Zea mays: one gene and its partner. The protein of the gene in region 1 binds, or shares a complex with, the protein of each later gene. Links are inferred from orthologs where the notes say so. Each region holds a gene or a part of one and is shown in the gene's direction. Other genes may lie near its edges. The genes, in order: SNF1-related protein kinase regulatory subunit gamma-1-like and SNF1-related protein kinase regulatory subunit beta-2.

The links.
Region 2: SNF1-related protein kinase regulatory subunit gamma-1-like (region 1) and SNF1-related protein kinase regulatory subunit beta-2 share a complex: the UniProt entries of both Arabidopsis thaliana proteins name them as parts of the probable heterotrimeric complex. The link is inferred for Zea mays from reciprocal best matches to the Arabidopsis thaliana genes AT1G69800 and AT2G28060.

Annotation. Positions count from the first base shown.
Region 1 is NC_050098.1:226,880,477-226,896,297, reverse strand, and holds SNF1-related protein kinase regulatory subunit gamma-1-like, read left to right. Parts: upstream 1-7,042; 5' UTR 7,043-7,306; intron 7,307-7,717; 5' UTR 7,718-7,719; coding exon 7,720-7,879; intron 7,880-7,975; coding exon 7,976-8,418; intron 8,419-8,750; coding exon 8,751-9,017; intron 9,018-9,214; coding exon 9,215-9,387; intron 9,388-9,467; coding exon 9,468-9,780; 3' UTR 9,781-10,048; downstream 10,049-15,821. UniProt on the Arabidopsis thaliana protein: Regulatory subunit of the probable trimeric SNF1-related protein kinase (SnRK) complex, which may play a role in a signal transduction cascade regulating gene expression and carbohydrate metabolism in higher plants.
Region 2 is NC_050096.1:194,652,563-194,668,444, forward strand, and holds SNF1-related protein kinase regulatory subunit beta-2, read left to right. Parts: upstream 1-9,081; 5' UTR 9,082-9,236; intron 9,237-12,027; 5' UTR 12,028-12,051; coding exon 12,052-12,078; intron 12,079-12,164; coding exon 12,165-12,473; 3' UTR 12,474-12,708; downstream 12,709-15,882. UniProt on the Arabidopsis thaliana protein: Regulatory subunit of the probable trimeric SNF1-related protein kinase (SnRK) complex, which may play a role in a signal transduction cascade regulating gene expression and carbohydrate metabolism in higher plants.

The DNA of each region.
Region 1 (15,821 bases):
AGGATAAAAGTAATCTTAGTACTTACGCGCCTACAAAAATGTTCATCCATGTAGCAGCGACACTGTTCACCTATTTATAAGATCTAGCCATTGTACATATTCTTTCAAATTTACAAATATAACCTTCCTAACAAATATGAGTCTTTCATAATGGAGGACGTACAACTTAGTAATTTTACACCTCTGACATCATATACGACTTCTCCTCTCGAGGGACTTCGACATCATTGGAGAATGAAGGTTTAAGGGTCGTTGAAGCTCCGTCTTTGTCCCATGACATATCCGAAGCTATTTTTCTCCTTGCCTCTATGTTCTTTGGCCTCGAGGCTACCTCAAAAGCTTTGACCTCTCAAGCTTTTTTCCTGAATCAATACCCTAAAAAGCATTCTAACAATAAACTTCGTTAATTTGGACATTTGGTTAGGGACCTTCTCCCCAATACCGGCCAATATCAACTCCAACATGGTCGACGGACTCACCGACTAGTTGGCCGAGACGGCCGATGTTGGGACCGACACGGTCGGTACCGATCGACATGTCTCCCATATCAACGGTCAGTATAGGCGTGTGTTAGAAGCAGTCTAACCTGCAAGAGAGTGTGAAATACTCTTGCATTGGTATATGGGAGCTGATTGAGAAACTGCTACTTATAGACAGACCAGGGTCTGATGATCCAGGAAATTATGAGAAACAAAGGTTTTGTTGAGCTAAATAATGTAGACTTCGCTGAACTCTACTCACAGCCTGCTGGTATAGCCGGTGGCAACAACGACACATGGGGAAGAAACTCAAAAACCCGAAGTCAGTCATGTTAATTGCAACAATCACAACAAACTTCGGAGGTTTTTGACATTTTCAGGTAAGTGGCCGTTTGGGAGGGCTCCTCGGCAGCTCCAGTACCGACTTCTCGCTGAAGCTCTCCCAAACGCTACCCACAAAACAGCTCTTGAGCAAGAGCAGGAGCTAGAATACGGCTGAGAGCCGGAGCTCAAATTTTTGGCTCTCCACGGCTCCACGTATGGGCACTGCGTCTCTCCTCGAGCAGACACCTCTCTCCAAGCCACCCCCATGATGTGATTCAAGAAGGTTGCACGGTGAGCAAAGCATTGGTCGTCCATGCGCTGATGCAGCTGGCAGCGAGATCGTTTTACTCCAAATCAAATAATACAAAAATAATACACGAGGAGCCGTTTTGCCAAACGATTTGTAAAAAGCACATGCTTTTGTTGAGGAGCTACTCCTTTAAAGAAGCCAGATCCATAACTATTTTTAGAGGTGCCGGAGCCCTCCCAAACGGGTCCTAAATATATATAGTAGATAGGACCACATTGCACGTACGATTTGTTCGACTGCCTGTCTATATAGACTCACTGTGGGCATTCGGGTTAGCCCGAAAATTTGGGTCGGGTTTTTCGGGCTTTCTAAATTTCGGGTTTCTAGAAACGATACGCAAAAGCAGTGTGACTGTATTGTATACCCGTTAATTCGGGTACCCGAATTTTTCAGGTTCGGGTTTGGGTAGCCCATTCTACCTGTTTTCAAACCAACTTGGTTAGCCACTGCTTGTCTGCTTTAGTTCACTGTGGTGCATTCCATTTCCAACAGCAAACAAAAAAACATGCATCACAACTGCACAACAAGCATTTAGTGTTTTAAAAAATTTCACATAGCAAAAGTGTAGCACATCACATCAGTTTGACTATTTCTGTCTTCCTGAGAGAGACAAATCATCACATTATTAGTTTACCACAACTCAAAGCCATAGTCGGGCAATCAACAACCAACCAAGCAAAAGCAGGCAACTAGGCAATCACACAGCCACACGCCCATAGGCCATAGTCCAGAACAGACGTTCCACGGTCAGCATAGGCAACAGGCACTTAGACTGGCTCCAATAGGTCCTCTAAAGGGCCCTCTACCTTAAATTTAGAGGATACAACACACTCTATCCAATCCAGCAAGAGACTGCAAACGAGTCTCTAAATTTTAGAGTGTGGTCTTCAGCCGCTAAATGTGGAGATGCACTGTAGATCCGGTATCCTGCACGAGATGGTTCTTTTGGCTGCTAGTGTACCTGGTGTATGTCCTTTTTATTATCTTTTATTTCTTGTCGACCAATGATGTAAAGAGAGAGAGAGTAGAGAACGGACTTTAGAGGATAAATTTAGAGGACTTTATTGGAGACGCTGAAGATATAGAGAACGAACTTTTTTAGAGTATGCTGTAAAGGACAGAGAATATTCCTTTAGAGGATGAAATTTAGAGGATGTTGCTGGAGATAGTCTTAAGCGAGCAGCAAGGTAGCAGACCACTACAATATTTGCACGTCTGCACTGGTGTACGGTCCATGTGGAGATGCTTGGTTGCTGGGCTGCTTCGCTGGGCGCCTGGGCATTGAATTACTGGGTCGTGTGCGCGGCCTGTCATTGGCTTGACGGCTAGCAATCTAGCACACAGGTAATACTTCAGGTTTATTGGGTAGTTTGGGTACCGCGGGGTATTACCCGATTAGGCCCGAATTTAAATCGGGTATTTAGTTTCGTTACCCACTGAAACCGTTCGGGCATCAGACTTTGGGCTAAACGGATATAGGCTCGGGTATTTCGGACTTCGGGCTCGGGTTTTGAAAGTGCATTCATCCCTTTTGTGAGTTTTGGTGATTTGGATAACAACACATTTAAAAAACTAACAAGTTTGCTAAGTGTTGAACAGGAAATTCAGTATGACGAACATACTTGAATAGTATATAATGAACAGTGAACAAAGGTTCAACACGAGGATAAATAACCAATGGGACAATGTAAATGGATATAATATGATCTCTATATTGGTTTGAATATATGGACAAGACCTGAGAAATTACTACATACATATGATCAGAATAGAGGATAAAGTGATTAAGAGGATTGGTTAAGCCAAAGTGGATAAGATATGAGGAATCGTGAATTGGCTTGACCATATTACTATCAGTCCATATATATGCTTCTATGAGAATCAAACTAGAGCTTGATTGATCTTAACAATTATATCTAGAAGACAATCAAGCAAGGTTCACAATATTGAAGAAATGATTCTCTCAATGGATGCTCAATAGGATGTGACTCAAGAATGGCTTGATAGGGTGAAGATAGCAAGGAAAGGGCTTCGAGGAACTAAGCAAAGGTGAAGGCCAAGTGACGGCTTGTAGACCGAGGTACCATGGCTAAGGTGAAGAAGAGAGTACTTGCACTAAGTCGATGAACTAATCAGCTATGAAGAGTTATAACATGTTGATGCATCAGTAAGGTGACTTGAAACCATGATTTGAACTCATATATGGTGATATGGTACAAGTCACATGGTTTGATTTGTGTTTGCTTCAAAAGGTGAGATAAAGATGTTTGTGATCCTTATGAAGCAACGCCATGGAGAAATCACACATGAGACACCAATGACTCAAGGAGTTTACTTCATTTTATTTATTTAACTTGAGTATAGGAATCGTCGTACTATAAAGGGGGATCCAAAAAGAAGGTTGGTGTTTGCCAAAGCTCAAGCCTCTATATTCAAAAGCTATTTTTGAAAACCAAAAATCACTTTAACATTATTTGGTTGACCATGGTTAGGTTTGAGAAACCTAGAGTGTTCTTGCTGAAAAGCAGCTGAACTTCTTCAACTGCAGCTGAACTTAACTTCAGCTGAGTTGAGCTTCTTCAGCTGCAGCTGAGCTTTTCAGTTGAGCTAAACTTTAGCTGAGTTGAGCTTTCTCAACTTCAGCTGAACTCAACTTCAGCTGTGAACCTCTTTGACCATACACCAGCTGAACTTGCCTCCGGGCAGTTGAGCTGGGGTTTTCTCTCCTAAACTCACTGGTCAAGACCGGTTGAACTGGTCCTGAGGGGCAGTTCAGCTGGTCTCTGACCCCTTTGACCTCTAATCTGCAGTCTGCCAGTCAGACTGGCAAACAGGTCGCCAGGAGCTGTCAGGGGCGGTTCAACCGCCCCCCCTAGGCGGTTCAACCGGTGTTGGTCAACTTTGACCAGTCTGCGGTCAGTCTACGCGTCAGTCTGCCAGTCAGACTGGCAGACAGGCTGCCAGGTCTGCCAGGGGCGGTTCAACCGCCCTAGGGGCGGTTCAACCGGTCTCAGGCAGAAAAATCTGCCCAAACGGCTAGTTTTGAGCTCCACCTATATATACTCCCTCCTACCTCTCTCCCACAGCGAAGAGCACGATTTGAACTCCATTTCCAACTTGAGAAACTCCTCCCACTCTCTCTCACACATCTCTTGCCTCTCCCATTTCAAATCTTTGGAGAGAAATCTTTGAGTGAGCTTGAGAGCTACGGTTTTTGTGCTTCATCTCTAAATCTCTCTCGCTCTTCTTCATTCGAGCTTTGGTACTACATCGAGTTCTTTGTGGATTCATTACTCTTGGAGCTTCTAGCTCTTAGACGACTAGGTGTCTCTTGTGAGTCTCCAAATCTTATGGAAGACCACAAGAAAGTTTGTATTACCCGCTCGTTTGAGCAAAGATTATTGTATGGGCTTGACCTTTGTGATCGGCAAAGGGAGGATTAGGGTTGAAAGAGACCCGGCTCTTTGTGGGCGCCTCAACGAGGAAGTAGGGCACCTTGGTGGTGTGACCGAACCTCGGGATAAATCTTGTGTCTCTTGTGATCTTGCTCATTGTGTTTGTTTGTGTTCTTCGTTCTCTCACCCTTCCGTGGAAGATTTGTTCATATCTTTTTGGTGTGTGGATTTTGAGAAGTGCCCTTCTCAGATCTACTACTTTGAACTCTGTGGATCATTTAGAACATCTCATTTCCAAAGTTAACTGGGTGAATTTCGAGATCAATTCAGTTTTACCCAGTTTGCTTCTAGTTTTTGTAGAAAAAGTTTTAACTTGCCTATTCACCTCCCTCTAGGCAACTTTTAGGTTTTATGCCCAGAGCTAATATAGACAGATCAAGAGATCCTGCAGTCTGTATATGCAGAAAAGAGCACAACCAGCTACAATAATAGAAGGCGCTGCTGCAGCCGACACCACCACCTCCGCGGCATCAGTAGAGCCGGGCCGCGCCACCTTCAGGGCGCGGTGCAGCGGCGCGGCCACGATGAGCGACGGGTGCCAGTGGCGGAAGTACGGCCAGAAAGTGGCAGCAACCCGTGCCCGCGCGCCTACTACCGCTGCACGGCCGGGCGCGCCCGACTGCCCCGTCAGGATGAAGGTCCAGCTGTGCGCGCGCGACACGGCCGTGCTGGTCGCCATGTACGACGGCGTCCACAACCACCCGCTCACGCCTACGCCGCCGCGGCGATGGCGTCGTCCACCGTACTCGCGTCGTCCACGCCACGCGACGCGGCAGGCGCTGCTGCTACCGCCGCTCACCGCGCTGCCACCGGCGCCGCAGCGCTATTCGTTCAGCGGCGCCGCCGTGGCCATATCCGGCCCGCCGACTGCGGCGTCCAGTCAATACAACGTCGTCGTCCCAATGGCTAACATCATGATGAAGGCGGTCGCAGACCCTAGCTTCCGAACGGCGGTGATGGTCGCCGTCGCCAGCTATCTCGGCGAGCAGTGCGGTGGAAGAAATGTCGACGACATCTTGACCTTGGCACCTCCCTGCTAGGTGCTAACTGATGGGCTCACACAGTCACACTGGCTACTGCGCTAGGATAGGGGAAAAATGACTTGTACATTTATCGCATTCGATTTAATTTGTCCTTTGCTTACCAGTAACCTACTCCAGGTTGTAACATCATTGTTTTCATTAGCATATCTCACACACGGTTCTCAATTAATTAGTCTTGTAATTAATAGCATTCTTTTTTTTTATGGAAATTGGTTCGTATTGATGTGATATGAATTAGCAGTAACATGATGGTACAATGCAGCCGTTTGAGGTGTTTGGTTCCTAGACACTAATTTTTAGTTCCTTTATTTTATTCTATTTTAGTCACTAGATTATCAAATACGGTAACTAAAATACATATTTAAAGACTAAAATGAATGGACTAAAAAAATAATCCCTGGAAAACTAAACACCCCCTTAATCTTTGTTGGCATTAATATACATGGTAGTATGGTACTAATAAATAAATTGGTCATCTACCTCTGTGAATTCCATGAAATTGATCAGCGTGGATTTTGTTTTAGATTCATGAAATTGGTTATGTTCTTCGTGGCGGGAGCGGCGTAGATAGGATTTTTTTTAATGAGGTATGCCATAATTTTTTCGTAAATAATTTAGTATAATCTATAATAATTTGATATACAATTTAGAATATAAGGATAAGAATAGTATATGAAACTATAGATTTAACATTAACTAGAATGTAAATATAATATATATCAGTTTTTTTAGGTCTCGGTGGACTCATGGTCCGATAGACTGTCTTAGGGTGCGTTTGGTTGCAATGACAGGACGGGATGGGATGGGACGATCCCTCAAATTAGGTTGTTTGGTTCTGGGTCAAGGGTTGGGACAGTACTATCCTGTGTTGTCCCCTGTTGTCCCTCAAAATTGCCCTGTTGTCCCTCAAAATTGGAGGGACGAGAGAGGACGTCAGGGGACGATCCCGTCCTAGCTATCCCACAACCAAACACACCCTAGAGTATGCCACGGTCCACTCGATGGAAGTAAAATATATAATTTAACATAGAAACTTGCATTTATCACTATTTTTTATAATTTTAGGTGTTGTATCATAGTGATAAAATAAGTGTGCACATATGTACACATTAGTTTTTTTTTGTCGTAGGCACAGTCAAATTAGTTTTAGGTGGAGAGGGTTAAAATAAATAATAGCAGTCTGTATTGTATTGGATGCACCAAATCGCTTAATTGGACGATCCCCAATTGTGGAGGAGATATTCTCGGCAACTCTTAAAATAAAAAATCATCTGGAAATATAATTAAAAAAACGGGTCGAATGATCAAATTAGGCTTCGTGTGTTGGACCAGCCCAATCGTGGGGGGTCATAGGCCTCTTTTGACACGAAAAGTCCGGCCCGAAAGTGAAGGGAAGGTATTATACGAAGCAATTATCTATCTTGCTCACGTGGCCTCCACCCAGCGTACATGCGCTGCGGTCGTCTGTTGCCATCTCGCGTTCGGTGGTGACTCCGGGCTCCGGGCGCCCTGCGCCCCTGGATTTCGAACCGAGAAAGAAAGCTGCTGCCCACCGTTTCCCAAGTCCCATCGCCGCCCAAGAACCGGAGCCACGCCGCAGATCCGCCAAAATCACACCTCCTAGCCCGTCCTCCGTCCCAATCTCTTCTCGGGCCAGGGAGGCGGCGGGACTTGGTGCCTGCATCCGAGCCCTAGGTGATACAAACTTGTGCTCTGGCGATGCACCTTGCTGTAGGGATAACTGAACCACTGCGCCGATTTTTCTGATTCCATGTGTAGGAAAAGTCGATGGAGTTTTTATTTGTGGTTTGGAATGATTTAGGCAGATGAATTTAAGTTCAAATCATGCCTGTAGGATGTCTGTTGTAATGCCCAATAGGGATGTCACTCTGTTATCTTGAGAGGATACCTAATTAGATACTAAACTGTGCGTGTAGTTCCTGCAATCAGGATTACTTATATTTCATTAATTGGGTATGTGTGCTGGCAAACCTTATCTTGATGTTAACTGCCCTGCATGTGATATATTTGTTAGTTGGTGTATTTATTAGTTGGTGACAGTGTAGATAGACAATGTTTGATTAATTCTTCAACAATTTCTTGTAGACATGGATCAACCTGAGGAAAACCCTGAATTCCCAAGCTGTGATGCCTACTTTGAAGCTATCCAGTCCAAGAAGAAGTTGCCACTGACTTTGCAAGAATCACTAACTGCTGCCTTTGCTCAGATTCCAGTCTCATCCTTCCCTGAGGTTCCAGCTGGTCGAGGTACACACTTTTGCGAAACAAAACTACTCAAATTGTTTTTTATGTGTTCCATCACCTTTATTCTACAGTTTGTAATCCTCGATGTTTTATATGCAGTAATTGAAATTCCTGGTGATACTTCTGTTATTGATGCTGTAAGGACTCTCTCTGAACAGAACATAAGGGCAGCACCAGTACTGAATCCAGAACCTGGGGCTCCTACTGATTGGCAGGGGAGGTACCTTGGTGTCATCGATTACTCGGCAATCATCCTTTGGGTACTAGAAAATGCTGAGCTTGCTGCTGTTGCACTCTCGGCTGCATCGGCAACTGCTGCTGGAGTTGGCATGGGTGCTGTTGGTGCTGTTGGGGTGGCAGCTTTGGGAACAACTGGCCCAGCTGCTGTAGCTGGCTTAACTGCAGCTGCAATTGGGGCTTCTGTTGCTGGTGGATTAACTGCTGAAAAGGGTGTGGCGAAGGATGGGCTAACTGCTGCAGATCATTTAGGGGAGGATTTCTACAAAGTTTTACTTCAGCAGGAACCTTTCAGATCAACAACAGTAAGCCATTGGTCTTGGCCTTAACAATTACGCATGTAACCACTGAATGAACAAATAATAAATATGTTTTCTTTTGTTAGTATTGATCAAATTTAAGAATCCGTCCACTCAAAGGGACACATTTGACCTAATGTTTTGCTGTGTGGCTGAACGGAATTTTGGTTACCCTACATATATTGCAACTGTTGGCCCATGGTTTAAAGTTTAGACATATCTTGCTTTTTTATTGTTACCTGCACTGTGTTTTGTTGATAAGATTCAATTTAGTTCAGACTCTTCTATTCTAGTTAAATATTGTATGACGATCATCTGTTGTTCTTTTACTACTGCAGGTTCGATCGATTGTTGAGTCGTACCGCTGGTCTCCTTTTGTCCCCATTACACTGGACACTTCCATGCTGACTGTACTTCTGTTGCTCTCTAAGTACAGATTGCGAAATGTCCCTGTGATTGAGCCTGAAAAGCCTATCATCAGGAATTTCATTACTCAGACTGGTGTTGTCAAAGGGCTGCAGCAATGTAAAGGAAGGGACTGGTTTGACTACATTTCTGCACTTCCTCTTTCAGACTTAGGACTTCCATTTATGTCCATTGATGAGGTTATTTTGTCTCCCTTTTCTTGCTGCTTTAGTTGAATACCACCCTTTCATTGGAAGAGCCAGTTTCCTATGTTCTACGACATTCTGATTAATTTACTTGTGCAACCTGCAAAGCACTTCATTATATAATTCTTTATGTGTTTGCCTCTTCAACACACTAGTAAATGTTGATGTGACAATTTTGTTTTTTTTTTCAGGTTATCACCGTCAACAGTGATGATCTTATCTTAGAAGCTTTCAAGTGCATGAAGGATAACAAGATTGGTGGTGTCCCAGTAGTAGAAGGCCCCAAAAGAAAACTTGTTGGCAGTGTTAGCATAAGGGACATCCGCTTTCTGTTGCTTAGACCCAACTTATTTTCAAATTTCAGGTATCAAGCTATCTTACAGCGCGTCCCTGTGTTTTTTTTTGTAATGCATCCCTTGTGTCTTGATGGTTTCTTCCATACAGGCAGTTGACAGTCATTGAATTCATGAAGACTCTAGGCTCCACTCTTCCTGATTCAGAGAGCAATTGCCTGGTGAAGCCACCACCCACTTGCACTCCTGACGCTTCCCTTGGTAGTGTTATTGACAGCATTGCATCAAGAATAACACACAGGATATATGTAGTGGATGATGACCTTGAGGTTGTTGGTGTTGTGACTCTGCGTGATGTGATCTCATGCTTTATTCATGAGCCACCCGGTTATTGCGACAACTATTTGGCTTCAGCGATGGAGAAGCTTGAGGGGAAAGGAGTCAGATCAGTGGAGAAAATTTGAGCTTTTCTGTAGCGTGAATGTTGATAATAACAGGTCAGTATGTGAGGAAGGTTTATTTGGTTGGAACGGTGCATTCGTGTCGTGTTAATCCAGCAAATCCTGTGTAGGTTAAGTAACAAGGCTTCTGTGCTGTTAAAAATATTTTACTATGTCATTTCTTTGGACGGTTTTCTGAACAAATGTGTGGTAACCATTAGGCCTTGTTCGGTTATTCCTACACCAAATGGATTGGATGTGATTGAAAAAAAAATAGTAGAGATTTTTGACTTGTTATGGATTTAAACTCACGTAGGCCCTGTTCGGTTGTTCCGGATTGGAGCCCCGGATTAATTCCTAGCCGGATTACTTCTCTAATTTATATAGATTTTGATGAGCTGGAATGAATCCTGGCTCATTCCGGTACAACCGAACAGGCCCGTAATCTTATTCAATCCATATGGATTCAATTGAAAATGAACAAGCCCTTAGGAGGTGATCCTGTCCATTTAGGCCTAGTTTGGGTACTCTAGTATTGACCTGAATCCATATGTATTGAGGTGGTAACTTAAACTAATTTACATCCAAATCTACCTCAACATATGTGGATTGGTGTCAATACTAGAGTACACAAACTAGGCCGGTAAAACCTTATCGGTTATTTTGAATCCATATGGATTGGAAGAGATTTTGACTTAATAGGGATTGAAAACACTCAATCCATATGAATTGGGATAGAACCGGTTTTACCAGAATCCATATGGATTGAAGGGGATCGGACGGGTCTCAATTCATAACAAGTCAAAATTATTCATAATCTTTTCCAATTCCTTCCTATTATCCGAACAAGGTTGGATACACCTTACAACAAATCCAGAAGATCAAAGGGACAGCGCCGAGAACTTCAGGCATTACTGGTTAACATGTATTTATAGCAGCATTATTTAGTGATGTTATAATGATACATGTAAGTTATGCTTTTATGTAGCCTTTTACTCGCCGGTGGATCACTCAAACGCTTCCAAAACTCCACACAAAAACACTAGAAAGACATACTGTCATACTAAGTTTTTTAGTGATGCCAAACTAAACCGCTGCAATAATATGTGCATACACGACTACAAAGGCTCACAGCTAACAAAGGAAGCTACAACAACAACAACAACAAAGTCTTTTGTCCCAAGCACGTTGGGGTAGGCTAGAGATGAAACCCCGTATGAAAACCTCAGAGCTCAACCCCCAAAGAAAACAGGGGAAACAAAGGCAAAGGAGAACCGAAAACGACGAAACGGGGGAACACATAAAAGAGATAAAACCCACAAGAACCAGCAAGGTCTAAATGGGCACAAGAAAAGGTCAAACGATTAAGGAGGAAAAGCGGAACTATAAATCAAGGTTCTGGCACGTGAATTGCACACTTCCACCCCTTCCTATCCACGGCGAGCTCTTTATCAATATTCCACTCCTTCAGGTCCCTCTTCACTGCCTCTGTCCACGTCAAGGTTGGTCGACCTCTACCTCTCTTCACATTCTCGGGACGCCTAATTATTCCGATATGCACTGGTGCCTCTTCAGGTCTTCGTTGGATATGTCCAAACCATCTCAAACGATGTTGCATAAGCTTCTCCTCAATTGGTGCCACTCCTACTCTCTCTCGTATGTCATCATTCCGGACTCGGTCTCTCCTTGTGTGGCCACATATCCAGCGCAACATACGCATCTCTGCCACACACAGTTGTTGGACATGTCGTCTTTTAGTGGGCCAACATTCTGCTCCATACAACATAGCCGGCCGGATTGCTGTCCTGTAGAATTTGCCTTTTAGTTTGTGTGGCACCCGGGGGTCGCATAAGACACCCGCCGCTTGCCGCCACTTCAACCATCCAGCTTTAATTATATGACTGACATCCTCATCGATGTCTCCATCCTTCTGAAGCATTGATCCTAAGTAACGAAAAGTGTCTTTCTTGGGTACCACTTGCCCATCAAGACTAACATCGCCATCTTCATACCCCATGGCACTGAAATCACACTTCATATACTCCGTTTTAGACCTACTAAGCCTAAAACCTTTTGCTTCCAGCGTCTGCCTCCACAATTCCAACTTTTGCGAAACACCACTCCTACTCTCCTCAATAAGTACCACATCATCGGCAAAAAGCATACACCACGGTATATCTCCTTGTATGTCCCTTGTGACCTCATCTATCACCAAAGCGAAAAGATAAGGGCTCAAAGCCGACCCTTGATGTAGTCCTATGTTAATTGGAAAGTCATCGGTGTCCCCATCACTTGTTCGGACACTTGTCACAACATTAGTGTACATATCTTTAATAAGATTAATGTACTTTGTTGCTACTTTGTGTTTTCCAAGGCCCACCACATTACACTCCTGGGTACTTTGTCATAAGCCTTCTCCAAGTCTATGAAGACCATATGCAGGTCTTTCTTTTGTTCTCTGAATCTCTCCATAAGTTGTCTTAGTAAGAAAATGGCCTCCATAGTTGATCTCCCGGGCATGAAACCAAACTGATTTTGGGTCACGCTCGTCAGCTTTCGCAGGCGGTGTTCAATGACTCTCTCCCATAGCTTCATTGTATGGCTCATGAGTTTAATTCCACGGTAATTAGTACAACTTTGAACATCTCCTTTGTTCTTGAAGATTGGTACTAATGTACTCCGCCGCCACTCGTCGGGCATTCTGTTTGTCCGAAAGATGGTGTTGAAAAGCTTAGTCAGCCATACTATCGCTATGTCTCCAAGGCATCTCCATACCTCGATAGGGATACCATCAGGGCCCATCGCCTTTCCTACCTTCATCCTTTTTAGCGCCTCCTTAACTTCATATTCTTGTATCCTTCGCACAAAACCCCTGTTGTTGTCATCGAATGGTTCGTCCAATTCTATTGTAGAACTCCCATTCCCTCCATTGAACAATTTGTTGAAGTACTCCTTCCATCTATTCTTGATCTCTTCATTCTTCACTAATAGTTGGTTTGCTTCATCCTTGATGCATTTGACTTGGTTGACATCCCTTGTCTTCCTTTCACGAATCTTGGCCATCCTATAGATATCCTTTTCTTCCTGCTTTGTGTCCAACCGTTGATAAAGGTTGTCAAAGGCTTGACCCCGGGCTCTACTAACCGCTCGCTTTGCAGACTTCTTCGTTATCCTATACTTCTCTATGTTTTCTGCACACTTGTCATGATGTAAGCGTTTGTAGCAATCTTTCTTCTCCTTGATAGCCTTTTGGACATCTTCGTTCCACCACCAAGTGTCTTTAACTTCCCTTCTGTTTCCTTGACTCAGCTCAAACTCTTCTGAAGCTATCTTTCGGATGCACATCACCATCTTCCTCCACATGATATTTGAGTCTCCCTCTTCTGCCCAAGGGCCCTCCTCGATAACTCTCTCCTTGAAAGTTTGGGCCACATCCCCTTTAAGCTTCCACCACTTTGTTCTAGTGACCTTGTTATGCTTATTCCGTTGTAAACGAATCTTAAAACGGAAGTCAGCTACGACAAGCTTATGTTGGGTTACCACACACTCTCCAGGTATAACCTTGCAATCTAAGCAGGCATGCCTGTCCTCTTTTCTCAAGAGGACGAAATCAATCTGGCTAGTGTGTTGGCCACTACTGAAGGTCACCAGGTGGGATGTCCTCTTCCTAAAGAAAGTGTTTGCTATAAACATGTCATAGGCTAGGGCAAAGTTCAGGATTTCCTCTCCTTCTTGATTCCTAGTCCCAAAGCCGAAGCCTCCATGCACACCCTCGAAACTGGTGCTAGATGTACCCACATGGCCATTGAGATCTCCTCCTATGAAGAGCTTCTCGCCAACTGGCACACTACTAACCATGTCCTCCAGGCCTTCCCAGAACTCCCTCTTTGAGTTCTCATTAAGGCCTACTTGAGGAGCATACGCGCTGATAACATTGAGAACCAAGTCCCCAATGACCAGCTTGACTAGGATGATTCTATCTCCTACCCTCTTAACATCTACTACTCCATCTTTAAGGCTCTTATCGATCAAGACGCCTACTCCATTCTTGTTTGTTGCAGTCCCCGTGTACCACAACTTGAAGCCTGTACCTTCCACTTCCTTCGCCTTCTGTCCTTTCCACTTGGTCTCTTGAACGCATAAAATATTTACTCGTCTCCTTACCGCAACGTCAACTATTTCTCGTAACTTACCTGTTAAGGAACCTACGTTCCAACTACCTACACGGACCCTAGTTGGCTCGACTAACTTCCTTACCCTTCGCACCCGCCGAGGAAGATGCAAAGACCCTTGCTCATTTTCCACTACACCCGGGCGTCGATGTAGCGCGCTGATAGTCGCCTAGAGGGGGGGGGGGTGAATAGGGCGAAACTGAAATTTACAAATATAAACACAACTACAAGCCGGGTTAGTGTTAGAAATATAAATGAGTCCGAGAGAGAGGGCGCAAAACAAATCCCAAGCGAATAAGCAAGTGAGACACGGAGATTTGTTTTACCGAGGTTCGGTTCTTGCAAACCTACTCCCCGTTGAGGAGGCCACAAAGGCCGGGTCTCTTTCAACCCTTCCCTCTCTCAAACGGTCCCTCGGACCGAGTGAGCTTCTCTTCTCAAATCAAAGCCGGGAACAAAACTTCCCCGCAAGGGCCACCACACAATTGGTGCCTCTTGCCTTGATTACAATGGAGTTGTGATCTCAAGAACAAGTGAGAAAGAAAAGAAGCAATCCAAGCGCAAGAGCTCAAATGAACACGGCAAATCACTCTCACTAGTCACTAGGGCTTTGTGTGGAATTGGAGAGGATTTGATCTCTTTAGTGTGTCTAGAATTGAATGCTAGAGCTCTTGTAGTAGTTGAGAAGTGGAAAACTTGGATGCAATGAATGGTGGGGTGGTTGGGGTATTTATAGCCCCAACCACCAAACTTGACCGTTGGCTGGAGGCGTCTGCTCGATGGCGCACCGGACAGTCCGGTGCACACCGGACAGTCCGGTGCCCCTGCCACGTCATCACTGCCGTTGGATTCTAGCCGTTGGAGCTTCTGACTTGTGGGCCCTCCTGAGTGTCCGGTGCACACCGGACATGTACTGTTTGATGTCCGGTGCACCGGCATGGGCGTGCCTGACGTCTGCGCGCGCTGCGCGCGCAATAAATGCACCGCAGGGAGCCGTTGGCGCCGCAGAGAGACGTTGCTCCGCTGGCACACCGGACAGTCCGGTGAATTTTAGCGGAGCGGCTGCCGCGCGAACCCGAGGCTGGCGAGTTCCTGAGGCCGACTCCCCTTGGCACACCGGACACTGTCCGGTGTACACCGGACAGTCCGGTGAATTATAGCCGAGTCGCCTTGGAATTTCCCGAAGGTGGCGAGTTGGAGTCTGAGTCCCCTGGTGCACCGGACAGGTACTGTTCACTGTCCGGTGGCACACCGGACAGTCCGGTGCGCCAGACCAGGGGTGCCTTCGGTTGCCCCTTTGCTCCTTTGTTGAATCCAAAACTTGGTCTTTTTATTGGCTAAGTGTGAACCTTTTACACCTGTATATACTATACACTTGGGCAAACAAGTTAGTCCAAAGATTTGTGTTGGGCAATTCAACCACCAAAATTATATAGGAACTAGGTGTAAGCCTAATTCCCTTTCAATCTCCCCCTTTTTGGTGATTGATGCCAACACAAACCAAAGCAAATATAGAAGTGCATAATTGAACTAGTTTGCATAATGTAAGTGTAAAGGTTGCTTGGAATTGAGCCAATATAACTACTTACAAGATATGCAAGGAATGTTTCTTTCTTATATAACATTTTGGACCACGTTTGCACCACATGTTTTGTTTTTGCAAATTCTTTTTGTAAATCCATTTCAAAGATCTTTTGCAAATAGTCAAAGGTAAATGAATAAGAGTTTGCAAAGCATTTTCAAGATTTGAAATTGTCTCCCCCTATTTCAAATGCTTTTCCTTTGACTAAACAAAACTCCCCCTAAAAGAGATCCACCTCTTAGTGTTCAAGAGGGTTTTGATATACCATTTTTGAAATACTACTTTCTCCCCCTTTTGAACACAATAGGATA
Region 2 (15,882 bases), on another chromosome or scaffold:
GAGTCTACCTCTATGAACCTAGACGATTTACACTTTGGACAGTACTTTGCCTTCTCATATTCTTTCCTAAATAGCACGCAACCCTTCGGATAAGCATGTATATGCTCATACGTCATCTTGAGTGCACAAATGAGTTTCTGTGCCTCGTACATGCTCTTTAGCAGAACGTGATCCTCCGGAAGCAGGCTGCCAATAACCGTCAACAAGCCATCGAATACGTCTTGACTCATGTTGTACTGCGACTTGAACGCCATTACACGCCCAATGGCATCCAGTTGAGAAACCTTTGTCTGGCCGTGAAGGGCCTTCTGTGCCACGTCAAACATGTCGTAGAATGCCTTTGCGGTCGGCTCTGGCTCGTCCTCCATACATCCTCCGGCATATTATGCCTCGTGATAGTCGTTCAACATATCTGCTACCCCCGCATCAGCATCATAATGCTCGATGCGTTGTCTCAACACCTCCTCTCTCGTACGATGTGCTTCACCATGGATGATGCCGCCCACCACACAGAGCCACATACACGAACTCACGGACTCGCCTCCTTCTCTTGTTGTGCCCCTTGTTGTTGCTAGAAGCCTAGAATGGAAGACGAAGACTGCCCAGAGCCACAGACACGCTCACGGTCGCAGAGACGCGGCTGCGTCCACTCCGGACAGCGGTCAGTCGTCGACCCTCTGTTCCTTCTCCCGCCAGCCGCCATTGTAGGTTGTACAGATTAGGGTTGAGGAGTGAGGACTGCTGGTGTCTGTCTGACTCGTGGGTGTGTGGCCAGATAGGGATTAGCTGGATTGGGGACGGGTGGGCTTGGGCCGGTGGGATTTCTATGGGCTGTGGGTCATGGGCGTGACCGGTGTGGAGCGAGCACATCAGTTTTAGAACAGTCAATTGGTGTTTCGGTTCGGTTTGAGCCTAATACCGATGCCGATCACCGAAGTTTATAGGAATCGGAACCGAAGCCGACACCAATCCCCGAAAAACCGAACTTTCGGTCGGTTTTTGCAACTACAGTTCGATTGTTCGTTTCTAGCTTAAAAGTGTCAGGCCTAGTCTTACCTATGAAGACATCTACAATAAGAATTATGGTACATAGTTACTCGAGAATTGGTTGATGCGTCATAGATTATGCGCATTTGTGTTGCAATTGCATCCATATGGTATGTGCAATTGGATGTTCGTTTTATCGGTTGTGTTTGGGACATTTTTGCCCTCATTCGCTCCAATTGTATAGTGTATACACATTTGTTTGTCCTCAGTTACTCCAAAAAACTTATTCTAACATGGGCTAGTATTTCGACATCCAGTATTCCAATTGAAGGCATGTTCGTTGTTCTCAACTTCTCATCTGATCCCATGTTTTGTTTCTTGGTTCAGTGCAACCCATCTCCTGGGCACCTCCACCGGTGGATGACAACCCGAAGAACATGCAACTGGTCTTATACAACGGAGATCAGCCTACTCAAGTGGTGCAGTCGTTGTCGTCTCAAGTCTGAACCACAGGGGTCTGGAGAGCCCGCCGCCTGCACTAGCAGCTTAGCCCGAGCTAATCTTTTGGGTGGCTGGTGTTAGAATGATACGAAACCACAATTAATGCTTCTAGAAGGATTCGTCCCCGCAACTACTTAGTTGTCGTGTTCGTGCTGTTTTATTGGTTCGTTGAATTGGGCCCGCCAGGATCAGGTAGCTAGGCTTGTGTTGCTTTAGGTCGGCTGCTACTTCGACACCTGCTATAGTGCTATGAGCCTATGATGGCATGTATGTGTTGTATTGTAGCTGCTACTGCGTCTAGATGCTAGATTGCTAGTCATGGTCACTCTGAAATTTTGGGACGACAACCAACAAGAACATGTCGTCAAAAGTGATGAGGTTTAAGATATGGAATTATTGGTCACCTGTTGTCGTCGTGGTTACAATTAAACTTGATGTGTTGTTGTGGTCTTGTGGATGCTTGCAAGTTACAGTGTCCATTGACACGTGTCACATACACACACGAACATTCAAAGTATAATTGTGACACACAGTCACACACAAACACAACACACATAGATCTAACAAGACAAAAACCTAGGGACAGGAATAGTGTCCAATACTCCCACATGTATTATATCTTGTGCATTAGGCATTCAGGCCAACCCAATCATCCTTCCTGGGAAAAAAGTGCCTCATGTGCAATGGATATAGATTCAATGGTGGAATAAAACATGCAAACTAAGCATTAACAAACATTTCATCATAAAATGTAAAATTAATACTAGTATTTTTGTACAAACATATTTTAGAGTTTTTAACGAAATAGTTATTTAATGAGATTTAAAAATGCAATTAGTCGATTATAAGAATGTTCAATAATTTTGAGCACCCACTCCATTTTTTTCCAACATACACCATGAACAACTTCCGTTCACGAGTCTATTTAGAGGTGTTAAAGCATAGAAATAAAATCGATTTTCATCACATAAATCAACGTAATAAATCATGCGATAATTAGTTTTTGATGTTTTGAAGTTTTATCTCCGTATTTGCAGTCGTGGTGCAAGGCATTCTTAGTGAAAAGTTCCATATTTATGTTTCCAAAGTGCCACATAAGCGCGAAACAAATGAAGTCATAGATGAAACTTCCTATTGTGAGTGCACATTTTTATTTGACGTGGTTTCATAGGTAACATGCAAGACACAACATGTCTAGGTAACCGTTTATACCTAGTTTCATCTCCATGAAACTCATTTCATCTCTCTCATAATAAATAGGTTGTTATGTCACCAGATTTGAAGATGTGTCACAATATTTAATGATAATGAAACTCCCACCGAAAATGTCCTAAATGTAGATTGTTTCGAATTACTTGGCGTCATGGCGTGGGTTTGTTTCGAGTTCTCACTTGTGTGGATTTGACACACTATCAGATTTAACCTGGTCTCTGATGTACTTGGTGTTAACTAACCTATGATCAATGGTTATACCATAAAGATGACTTATAATTTAGAACGGAAGGGTACTAGCCACTAATAATGTTTCATTAAGATAATAGATATGAAATCAACAAGAATAAAAAAATAAAAGGAAGATGAAGAATATTATAAGCAGAAAATCCCAAATCTCTACTACTCTATATGTTACCAACGTAGGCGTGCACACTGCCGCGCGTTCTGCCACCCGCATGGCAACCCGCAGCCCGCAACGCCCGCAAATCCTTCCATCCATGGCGCCGTTACTGCAATTCCCCCCCGCGATCCACGCTCCCTCCATTACCCACGCGATCCGCGCTCCCTCCATTGCCACCGCGATGCCGCCTTCCCAGGAACCCTTCCATCCATGGCGTCGTTGCTGTAAGTGCCCCCCATACCGCCATTCCTACCGCCCACGCCTTCAATGGAAGTCCACGACCCCTAGAGACGCCGACCCTGCCCCCGTCCAGCCTGCGCCTCTGCCATCCTCGCGCACATGGCGAGGGAGTGCCCCCGTCCCAGTCCTGCTCGCGATCCTCGCCTCCCCTTTCTATTTCCCTAGCCGCGCAGGAGCTGGGAGCCCCGATCCCCGCCTCCAACATCGCTCCCCCATTCCCCATCACCCACCGGTCGCTACACGCCTCGCGCCTCGCCACGAAGTCGTTCTCCCTCGCGCCTGTGTCGAGCCGAACCACCCGTCAAAGAACAAGGCGCAGCGGAACGCCGACGACGAGAGAGCGGGAAGGACGCCCCCACAGCGGGGGTGGGGGTCGACGAGGTGGCTGACGGGACCGTCGAGCATGTAGGGATCTCCACACGCAGGGGAGTGGCGAGGCCGCCGCAGCGAGGGTGGGGGCTGAGGCGACGTTTTACGGGCCTAGCGAGCAGGCGGGGATCTCTGTCGTCATCCCGGGATGCTTCTCCGAGAAGCGGCCTGGTGCGCGTGCGTCCCGCTCCTCTTCCTTCCTATTCACTTTTTTACTGTGCATCAAATGCTCTACTGTTGTGTTGGCATCTGCTGCGATCGCCTTGAATTCGCTCATGCTGCAAGAGTCAGCAGCTGCGGTGGAGCTGCCCTTGCTGCTGACTTGAGTTTTGAGAGATGTGACATCAGGTGCCTTCGTGGTTCCTTGTTCGCTGGTTACAGCTATACTTTATCAAGTCTGCTAGCAGCGACCGATGCCTCCTTCACGTTGGCTTGTTTGGGATGGTTTAGCAGCATTTACACTGCCTTGACCACCGCCAGCAGTCATCTCCTATCTTTCCTTAGATGATCCATCCTCCCCGTCGTCACTGTCTGAGAATACTTCATCTTTATCATTGCTTCCAGTCCCCTTGTTGGATTCTGCAGGCGCAATACTATTTTCTTTCACAGCCGTGCTAGCCGAGGAATCAGCATCAGATTTATTATCAACTGCTCCAGGGGCTGTTTTTTTTTTGTTTTGGACAGGACTGCAATTCATTGGTAGGAATTTCTCTGTTGCAGTGTACGAACAAGTCAATTCTCCTATAGGTTTCAACATCACCTTTACTGGTTTGCTTAGCCTCACCACCGATATAGGTTTAGAATTTCCTATAATACAAACTAATTTCTGTGGGATTCTTCACGGCTATTCCATTATTTAGTTAGTAAGTAATATACAATTAGTTTGTCAGTTTGGTGGCTTTAATTTGCATATTCTTCTACCATGTTTTGGGAATATTACTAATCTATATTAACTCTTTGAAGCTTGTTGTAACAGAAAATATTCCACTAAAATTATCTTGGTCTTTTTTGTAAACAATTAATTTCTAAATTGTCACACAGTTTTGCATGGTACATACTTTCCTGGCACAGAGTTTCTTCCTGTCATGAACTTATCTTTTTATATTAATTTTAGAAATATACCACCTGCCTGTAACCCTCGGGTCAGTCCGTCCGCAGTAAGAGAATTGTATAAAAGGTCTATTTAGGTGACCCATGATATAATTTCTCAGATGAGTTTTTCTACTACAATAGTTTTATTGCCTAGGTGCAGCAATAATCAGTATTAAGCAATACATGATCAAGTTCAGTATTGCTACAATTAACTCTTAAATGTAGTTTTGTTTTACATATTATATCTCAAGTTAATTATCCTATCCATGTTGTCTTGTATTTTTGCGTTGAAGAGATGGAATGTTGGCAGAGAGAACATGCAGAGAGGTACAAATTAAGGTTCATCGAGATAGATTTGAAGGCTTTTTATTTCAGTGAAAATTGATGCTGACCAGTCACTTTTTTGTTTTGGACAGGACTGCAATTCATTGGTAGGAATTTCTCTGTTGATGTGTACGAACAAGTCAATTCTCCTATAGGTTTCAACATCACCTTTACTGGTTTGCTTAGCCTCGCCACCGATATATGTTTAGAATTTCATATAATACAAACTAATTTCTGTGGGATTCTTCACGGCTATTCCATTATTCAGTTAGTAAGTAATATACAATTAGTTTGTCAGTTTGGTGGCTTTAATTTGCATATTCTTCTACCATGTTTTGGGAATATTACTAATCTATATTAACTCTTTGAAGCTTGTTGTAACAGAAAATATTCCACTAAAATTATCTTGGTCTTTTTTGTAAACAATTAATTTCTAAATTGTCACACAGTTTTGCATGGTACATACTTTCCTGGCACAGAGTTTCTTCCTGTCATGAACTTATCTTTTTATATTAATTTTAGAAATATACCACCTGCCTGTAACCCTCGGGTCAGTCCGTCCGCAGTAAGAGAATTGTATAAAAGGTCTATTTAGGTGACCCATGATATAATTTCTCAGATGAGTTTTTCTACTACAATAGTTTTATTGCCTAGGTGCAACAATAATCAGTATTAAGCAATACATGATCAAGTTCAGTATTGCTACAATTAACTCTTAAATGTAGTTTTATTTTACATATTATATCTCAAGTTGATGATACAATATGTGGCTCCCAACAGTATGCTTAGTTTTGCATGTCTTGTGCCTGCTATTTTCTACCAACCATTTAAGTGTGTTTGTGATGAATAATTTTTAAGGCATCCTTACAAAATTCTGTTATTTGAAATTGCTACAACTCATAATGCTATGCAAACTAGCAGAATGCAGTGGTTAATTTTGTATAGAAATGAGCAACCTATGTTACATCAATTATTGTGTGTCAGTTCTAAATTTCACATTCCACTAATATGCATCGTCTTCTTTTAATTTTGGTGTTCCATAAGCAACCTATTTTGTTGTTATTTACTAAATATGAGCATATCTTTTGATTCTTATTAATCATGATTTGACACCTGTGTATTATAGGAAAAACTGTTGGGAGTTTGGAAGACATGATTATTTCTATGGTGTTTGCATTTTTAGATTAGTGAAATTTATAGAAACGTTGAAGTGTCAAGTTATTTCTGGGTGTGCTTTCTCGTCCTTTGGCGGTAGAGTATAGTGCTTGCTTATTTGGTGCAAACGCCATGAAGTCCCTATTGAGAAGGTATGCAATTTCTGGTTCTAACAATATTTGTTTTTCTCCAAATTCCCCTGTTGCAAATGCCTGCAGTTATTGAACATGCTGTTCTGCTAACAGATTTTCAATAAATCTCTTCTTAGGAAATTTGTATGGGCAATGGACATTGACTCGGAATTCAGATTCTAGGAGAGCATTGGCACGTTATTTGCCTCTGTTAATTTCAAGAAAAACATGACAAGTTAATTTCAACAATGCACGTTATTCACCAAACCACACCTTATCCAGGGAACAATGGAGTTATTGATGGCCATAGCTTGGTATGGTGGCATTGGTTGCGCTCCTATGAGCTGAACCATAGCCGACCCAACCTTCTGGAGTTCTTGTATTCTGAAGATATTGTGATCTCAAACTTGACGTTCTTAAATCCACCAGCCTAGAGCATACATCTGGTGTACTGCAGGTGCAACGCAATTAACTTAGCTCTGTGCATAAGGTGTGGTTTGGTGAATATTAGCTACATATGTACTAAAGCATAGTGTCTTTGTATTCTCCAGTAATGTAAAGGTCCACAATGTGACGATTGAGACCTCGCTGGACGCTCCACTCACTGATGGCATAGTTCCAGGTATGATTTTTTTTCTAGGCTGAATGGACCTTTTTATGATTTATTTTCTTACAGCATAGATATTTGAATTCATTCTTGATGGTAGGCTGGTATTATTTAGTGATTTAGTTCTGAATGCAGCAAAAAACATCTTGATCTCTGAAGAAAACTTATTCTCCTTTTCCATTTCTTGTTGTACTTGGTAGCATAAAAACCTGAATAATATGCCCTAACTGTTGCCCCATATGCTTAACAAATAATCTGAACCACTCTTACTTTGTAACTCTTAAAATGCACTAGACAGCGATGTCGAGAAGTTTTTAATCATCCCACTAATTATCTGTTCTTGCTCCATATTCATATTCAAACTTATGTATCAAGGACAACACCATAATTGTCAGCCATGAAGTTATCTCGCTGAAAAACAGATGGGACAGGTATAGCATTGCCTTTGGGAGGCTTACCACTTCTATCATCTTTCAGAGCCGCTCTTGCATTTGGGAGTGAGATGTCTGGCGGAATCTTAGACATCCATGTTGACCACCTCTGGATCCATGACTCCTCCAAGGGTATTTCTTTCAGACCTCACCGACCGTGGGGGTTACATAGAAGACGTGGTATCAACAGATGCTTGGAAAGTTTTCTGTCGCCAAATGGGAAACAAGATATTGTAGGCCTGGAGCCGTGAAACAACGACACCGCAAGACTGTACAACAGCTTCAGGTGAGCAGCCATCTATGAGCAGCCCTCCTGCCATTGAGGCCTGTGCTGGCAACGACGGAAGCCATTTGGTGGGATCTCAGCCAGATGCTACGCCATATGCTTCTACCAGCACAACGCAGAGGATGAGTTCCGAAGCATTAGCAAGCCAGCAATGTGGATCACTACCACAAATTTCGATAAATCGAGCTGAACGTACCCTTGAGATGAAGGGCAGCCCCAATAATCTTCACTGACACCCAGGCATGCAGCAAACTACGAATGGTTTCAATGATGTTCCAGGTGCCAAACCAGACTCTTAACTACACTTGTACGGTTAATGTTCCATTTCTCATGACCATTTTAGTTCAAAGTTCATGACCTTTGTGTGTCTGTCTTTTTTCAGGACCAATGATGTTCCCACATGTGGCTCAACTGGTGGTGAATCAGATGCAGACACATACGGCTGATTGATAATGTTGTGTGTGTGCCGGGGGGGGTCGGGTCGCCTTTGATCCGTCGCGCCTCAACCTGGGGCTGCAACTGTGAGCCTGTTGTGTAATTGCTTAAGTAGTTATTAGGATGATAGCGTGCATAGATGTGTTGGGTGGATGCTGTAACAGCGGTGACCGGTGAGTTGCGATTCTGAATGTGTAGCAGAAAAACCACAACCGAAATGAAACATCTGTATAGATTATCGAGGATTTTTTAGCATGAAACCGTGCGAATCAGTTTGTCTATTGTCTGTATGGTTTATATATAGACATCAAACTGACGGTGTTCCCGGACTGCTTAATCTCTGCTGCCAGTAACATGATTAGGAGTGACAAGAGAGGCCATGCTTGTTTAGAGCAAAATCAGCCATGCACCAAATAACAAGTGAGGTTGGTGCTTTCTATCTCAACTATGATGGTTTAATCGCTGGATCTTATCTTCATTACTACATAGTTAGATCCTTTAATATTTGGTGCATGGCTGATTTTTGTCACTCATTACCTAGATCAACTCACTTGTTATGATTGTTGAGTTGTTTTTTGATAACATCACTAAACAATGTCATATCCGTGTATAAGTGTCCCCGTTGCAACGCACGGGCATATGCCCTTCACCCAATCACTTGCAGCTTAAAGGGCATCTGAATTAGTGGTTTTAAGGTATTAACATTACAATTTTTGGTACATCTCAATATTGTCTCATGTGCATTGGGTGAAGGATTTTATCGTATTGATTCCGTAGCAACGCACGGGCATATACCTAGTGAATTATGAAAAAAGGCTAGAGGAAGGCCCGTGGCCTGTGGGCGGCCTGGCGCGCTCTTTCTGACGCCGTCGATGCATAACCCGCATCCCCCTTCCGCGGCATCCATCGTCGGCTCCTCGTGCGTTGTCTCTCTCTCTCTCTGTCTCTCTCTCTCTCGTCCCCCTCGCTCTCAGACGACCGGTGGGCCGCCGCCGCCGACGCCGCAATAAGCCAGGTGCTGAGGCTCTTGTTGGTCTCTTCGCCAGCGAGGAGCACCCAGCAGGTACTCCCACCCGTCCTCCTCCCTTCTCTTCATGCTGCGCGAAGCTGAACACTGAAACCCTAATCTAAAGCTATTTAGCTATTTTACAAGCTTCCGAACTTCGATGTTTTTGCAAAAATTACTGGGTGCACATGTGTACACCGATGTTCCTTTACTGGATCCGCCCCTGCGGTGAAGCTCCAGCAAGGAGCAGCCCATACCCTGCGGTGGCACATGGGGAAGTATGTGGCTGGTTTTGTGATACTTATCATGTTTGCCAAACAATCATCCAGATCCTAGACCTATGTGCACATAATTTCCTAGTCACTAATATTCATACGAAGATAATTTTCCTAAATTGCTGTTAGAAGAAGGAAAAATGAAGTAGATCAACCAACAAATCACAGAGCACGACACATAGATTTACGTGGAAAACCCTTTGATGCGAAGGGAAAAACCACGGGCTCTAGCCAGGCGAAACCTTCACTACACGTGGAGTGTTTACAGAACGCCATCCGTAGACGGTGGCTTACAAGAGGATAATGACGACGCGCAGCAAACCCTAATTAGGGTCACTAATATATACCGCGGGGGTCTCCGCCCCCCGCACCCCCTGCCGTGTAGGGCTGGGTCGGAGCGTAGCGATGCCAACAAGGCCTCTATATGCAGAATTTGGACCACAAACTCAACAATTGCCAAGCAGGCCCTTACAAAGGATAATTCATGTACTCAACTGCAATGTAAGTGGAGAGGGACTGCCATATACTGGACTGTGATACCTTGCCTGAAATATTTTCCTAGTATATGACCGTGACCTTTTCCCAAGTACTTTAGGCTAAAATTGATCTATTGGAATACCATTTGGATTCTTATTGTTGCTTCAAATCTTTTAGCCGTATGATCATCCCATTTAGTAATGTCCTAAGTTCAAAAATGATTGCTGGTGAAATGCCATTCAATTGCGTTTGATCTGTATGGGAACAGCAAAAGATCTGAATTTAATTTTGCCTAGAATTTTATCAAATCTGGATTCTGACATATCGAAGTCAATATGTATTCATAGTTTTATCTTCATCACAAAGCTTGCTGCTTTTTATGTAATTTCAGTTCTACTCGGTTCATAATTCATCTTATTACTTGCCCCCCCCCCCCCCCCCCCCACCCGGCGGTAAATGGTATGAATATACCATGCAATCTTGGTGGAGTGGATTACAAATATTATGCAAAATAAGACTACCTCCGCAAATTAGCCAGGTGGCTCTTAGTTTGTTCGGTAATTTAGCTACAAATTATCTTCCATTGTTTGTTTCTATTAGCATCCTGAATCTTGCAAGCAGTATCACTAAACAATTAGCGCAGAGACAAAATTGTAATGCTGACCGTGCTTTCATATACCTTTCTACTTGGCCATGGGTGGACCTGTGCTTTAGTTTTTTTTTTCTACCGATGATTGCTGTGCGCCAAGGCTCAACGAGTGGGACATGGTCGCTGGCGGTGGTTCCTACAAACAAAGTAGTATTGCCTGAGATAATACTGCAGATATCCAGATAATGGCCTACAGTTGCAGTACTCCCATGAGCAAGAAATATGTTTTAACTCATTCTAGAGATGGACAACGCAAAAACATATCCATCCATGAACTAATTGCATCAGAATCAAACTGCATAAGGGTGATGGTTATTAGGGATATGTGAAACATCGGTGTTATTCACAGTCCTACACGCAAACATGTGCATCCCCTACCCACTGCTAACAAGTAGAAAATGCTGATATTTACTCTGCTTGAGAAAAATGCACAATGAAAGATAGTTTTGGTATCCTATATAGTTTTACTCTACTTGACACCAATTCTAAAGGTAAGGTACGTTGCAGCATTAGTTCGGTTCGTTTCAGACTGGAAAAAAAAGAGAAATGGAAAATCAACCAGAACTGTCTCAGGAAAGATGGAAAAGAGACTTCGATTGGAAACTGTCTGCATCAGGAAAGGTGTGCTGATTGCGGTGTTAGGGGGAGGGACGCTGATTGACGGTGGGGGCCTGCAGGGGTAAATCAGCTACTATCACTGTCCAACAACAAAGAGCTATTACCAACCTGACCCTGTTATCGGATTTGTTTCAGTACAACAAGAAGTAAATGGACTGACCTTTTCGAATTATAAACATGTGGTGTATGTTTGTCTCTCAGAGAAATCTTATCATAGATTGTCTCTGACGATTCCAAAACCTGATAAACCTTATCACAGATTGTCTCTGATGATTCCAAAACCTAAAACAAAGAACGCACAGCTGAACATAGACTTGAAGTAACTACTACTCATGTAACGAAAAAGGTCTCATGAACACATACTGCAAGAGGTCGCGGGAGTACATAGAACCCAAGCACTAACAAGGTCTATAATCTTAAAAGCTTTCAAGACTTGTTGCAGTACACAGCAAAGCCAGATAATCTTAAAGTGAGACCGTCTCAACCTACACCAGATATAAATTCCATTCCAGTTAACTGCAAAGGAAAGTAATCACCACAATACAGGGACAAATAGAGTGTGTCTGACTTCGTAATGATGAGGAATAGAATCAATAGATTTCCAAATCTATGGATGAGTAGCACAAAGGACATCTACTTCCAGTTACATACAAATGACATCGAAACATTTAGTGAACGTGTGCAACACATGCAATCTGCAGTAGATGTTTCCGTAAAAAACCAATGAGGACCCTCAAGAGCCTATTAAGCATGATAGTTCATAGTCCAGATTCCTTTTTTGTCGTTAAATTCTTTACTAACATGAGCATGTTGTATTATCTCCCTCCAGGACAAGGCAACAGGCTGTTGGAATATGGACCAACAAGGCATGCATGACCATGTAAGGAGTTACATAACCTTGCATATATATGTACAGTGGGTACCAAAATTTCTGTGGCTAACTTATGGTTGCTAACCATGACCCAGGAAGGGGTCCACGTTGTTGGATTTGAAGTCCCGCCTTCACCGGATTCCAGCTACGACAACCCTGTTCCTGGGAATGAAGACGAAGGCCGGGAGCCCCCACTGATGCCACCTCATCTGCAGCACACGCTGCTGAGCTTCCCACCAAGCCAAGACGAGTCGAGCCCGCTGCCCCAGCCCCAGACCGTGGTTCTGAACCACCTTTACATCGAGAAAGAGAACACGAGGTCCATGGTTGCTCTGGGGATCACGCACCGGTTCAAGGCTAAGTTCGTGACCGTCGTGCTTTACAAGCCAGTGCTGAGGCGGTAGGGTGTGGTCGTGTGCCTGCGCTCCTGCTCCCTCTTCTCGCGCAGGATCGGTAATGGTAATGCCGTAATGGTAATGGTAATTGAACACCCCTTGGGTTGCAGCCCACCCCTTCCAGTTGTTGTTATTGTTGTTGTAGTGGTGCAGAAACGGGCGAGAACGTCATTTTCGAATGATTATTAGCCTTGTTGTACCTAATTTGGCTGCTGGTGGTGGCAGTGATGGTTTGGTTGGAGTAGTTTGCTTGTGATTTGGCACCATTCTTCTGTCGCTGCTGTTATGATTGCGGATGTGCCGGCTCTCTGCATTTTGACCGGTCAATCGGACAGTGCAATTGGACCGAGACGAGAGTACCTTCGCTCACAAATATTCCTGGGGTGGAGACATGTTGCACCATAGGAATATCAGAAAAATTCTATAGCTCTAATAGTTAGAGTACGTAAATAATATAATAAATAGCTTTGTGTTCTTTACTTTCCAACAACTCCGTTGTAGTCTAGTTGGTCAGGATACTCGGCTCTCACCCGAGAGACCCGGGTTCAAGTCCCGGCAACGGAAGACCTTTTTTTTTCCTACTCCGAATTTTGTAAAGTTATTGGGCTTATTTTGGGCCAATAGTCGAATCGGCCTGGTCGCATCTCGTTTGTTTCTTTTCTATTCAAGAATTAAAGTACTGCCAATTAGTAGTTAATGTAAATTTGGAGGCTCTTGCAATTTTAATGCAACATACTCATCTTGCTTGGACGAACGATCAGGAGTTAGAATGAGCACTTGCTTTACCGAGAGATGACTTCGCATTTACCAAAAATATAGAGTGAAAAGACGTGTAATAATCATTGGCAAGTGAGATGAGGGAGAGGGGATAAGAATTAAAAGATGAAAGAAAAACAAAGCAAATCAAATGTTTATGTATCTAGATTGAGACTGAAAGCTTGCAATGTTGAAGAAAAAAGTTGCAAGTTGGAATTGCCCATTCTGCCAACATTATAGTCTCTAAAGTCACAACGACACTCGTGCAGTCAACATTATTATCAGCATGGGGAGTGTCATACCTCCTAACGTTGTTGTTAGCACTCGAAAGAAAGCTATATACCTCGTTGTTTTGTTAAGATGCTCTCAGAGATCTTGTTTCAGGACACTGACTTTAGAGCTCACTATTTTCGAGGCTCTAGGGACCTCCCCCGGTTCCAACCAAGAGAGATCTTGGTCCAAGTGACAAATATATAAGATGACTCGGCTATAAAAAGACACGACGACCATCCAGGCCCCCTACACCCTATGAGGCCCGAGGCCCCTAACATCCTGGGACCTCCAAGAGAGAAATAATTTGAAGTCCCCAAGGCACTTTTGGCCACGTGGCACTCAAAAGATTAAGCCTCTCATCCTCCACATGTCATGGAGCATTTAAAAGTCCTTAGGGCCTCTTGTGTCCCAAGGCACTTATAAGTAAAAGCCCTCGAGGACTCTTGTATCATATACACTTATAAGTACAAGTTTTTAGGACATCTCGTGTTCCAAGGCACTTATAAACCTAAGGCCTCAGAGCCTCTTGTGTCCCGAAGCACTTAGAATCTAAGTCCCTAGGGCTCCTCATGTTCACGTGGAAATAATGTAATAGATGTTTGGGGGCCATATGTCCACTAGGCACTACCGGTGATTAGCCACCTGTGGCCTCTGATGACCTTATTGTCTTTGGAGCCCTTGATCTCGTTCATCGAGGGCAGCCGAGACCATGGTCCCCAAGGATGTTAAGGACTTAGGGAAGTTGAGTGTAAAACTGTCTCATGGCAGAATAATGTGTCAGGCCCATCTAAGACAATATAGCCTCGGGAGATGGACCCCACTTCTATGCACCCGATAATAGATCTATAACAAAATCTTCATGGATATGTCTCGAGCACAACTCATTAATGTGTGATGGGCGACATAACAAGCCTGTTGTACGCGCATCAATCCTGTAGCCACATGAAATGTACCGCAGAACACAATAAATGCAAAAAATACTACACCGGATACCGATTACATCAGTCAAGTGCCTCAGGCTTAGATGTCCATAGATGTAAGTCGTCATGCCTACCCTTGCGACCGGTATGACAAACACATCGGGGGATGAGTAGTGGATAGAGCCCTAGTACCGCAATAAATGCAAGAGATGACCTTAGGGTCGGCCACTTCTTCGCCCTCACATACACACACTCAAGGGGCAATGCAACTGTCGTCGAGGGACAAGATTTAAGACAAGATTTCTAGGGACACTATAATTGAAGACCATGCCTAGCCCTATCTGGATCTGCAGCAAACGTCATGGTGTACTCGATGAGTAGCATGCAACGCATGCCACTTGTTGATGCCTTTCCGGAGCGTCAAACACTCAACAAGAACCGTGGCGGTGCCCTCTGCACAGGGGCGGACGGTCCGCGCGCGGGGCCGGACGGTCCGCGGTCTGGTGCGAGGCGTGGTGGTACTCTCTACGCAGAGGCGGACTGTTCGTGGCCTGGGGCCGGACGGTCCGCGGCCTGGTGCGCGGCTAGGGCTTCTCTGCCTGACGGCCGGACGGTCCGCGCCCTGGGGGCCGGACGGTCCGCGCGTACGCAGAGGCGGCGGAAGTCGCCGGCGGCGCCTGGATCTCGCTCCCGGGAGGGACCCCGTCGGGGAGGAGAGATCCTAGGTGGTGTCTAGGCTCGGGCCGACCGACCTAGACTCCTCTAATCGACGTAGAGCCGAAGAGAGACGAAGAATTTGGGGATTGGATAGCTAAACCTAAACTAGACTAGAACTACTCCTAGGATAAAATGTAAATTGTATTGATTGAAGGTTCGATTCGTTGTTTCAAATCGACCGTAGACCTCTCTATTTATAGAGGAGGAGGGCTGGACCCGTTACAAACAAATTTCCGAGTGAATCCCGCGAATCTAGCTAACAACCGTAGCACAAAACTCGGAACCCTAAACTGCTCTGCGCACACGCGGACCGTCCGGCCCCCAGGCGCGGACCGTCTGGACCGCGGACAGTCCGGCCTCAGGGCCGGACCGTCCGCCCTGCTCAAAATGGGCTCCAACATATGCCCCCTGCCTTTTGGTGGAGCTAAGCGAACCAAAAGCATCTTAACACGATGTAATTACATCAGTTTTCTTAAGCATTCTGCCACATACTGGGATGATACTGCTTGAGGAAACGCCCATTCAAAGCCTTAGGCAAATCTTTGCCTTGTAATGTTTGTAGCAAATAGGCGTTGCCAGACATCAGTTGTTTTACTTTATAAGGACCCTCACAGCTTGGCGACCATTTCCCGAACTTCCGGTCTTTATTCCTTAGAGGCAGAATGGTCTTCCACACCAGGGCCCCTACTTGAAATGATTTTGCTTTGACTTTCTTGTTGTAGGCCTTGGCTACCATGATTTTGTCCTTTTCT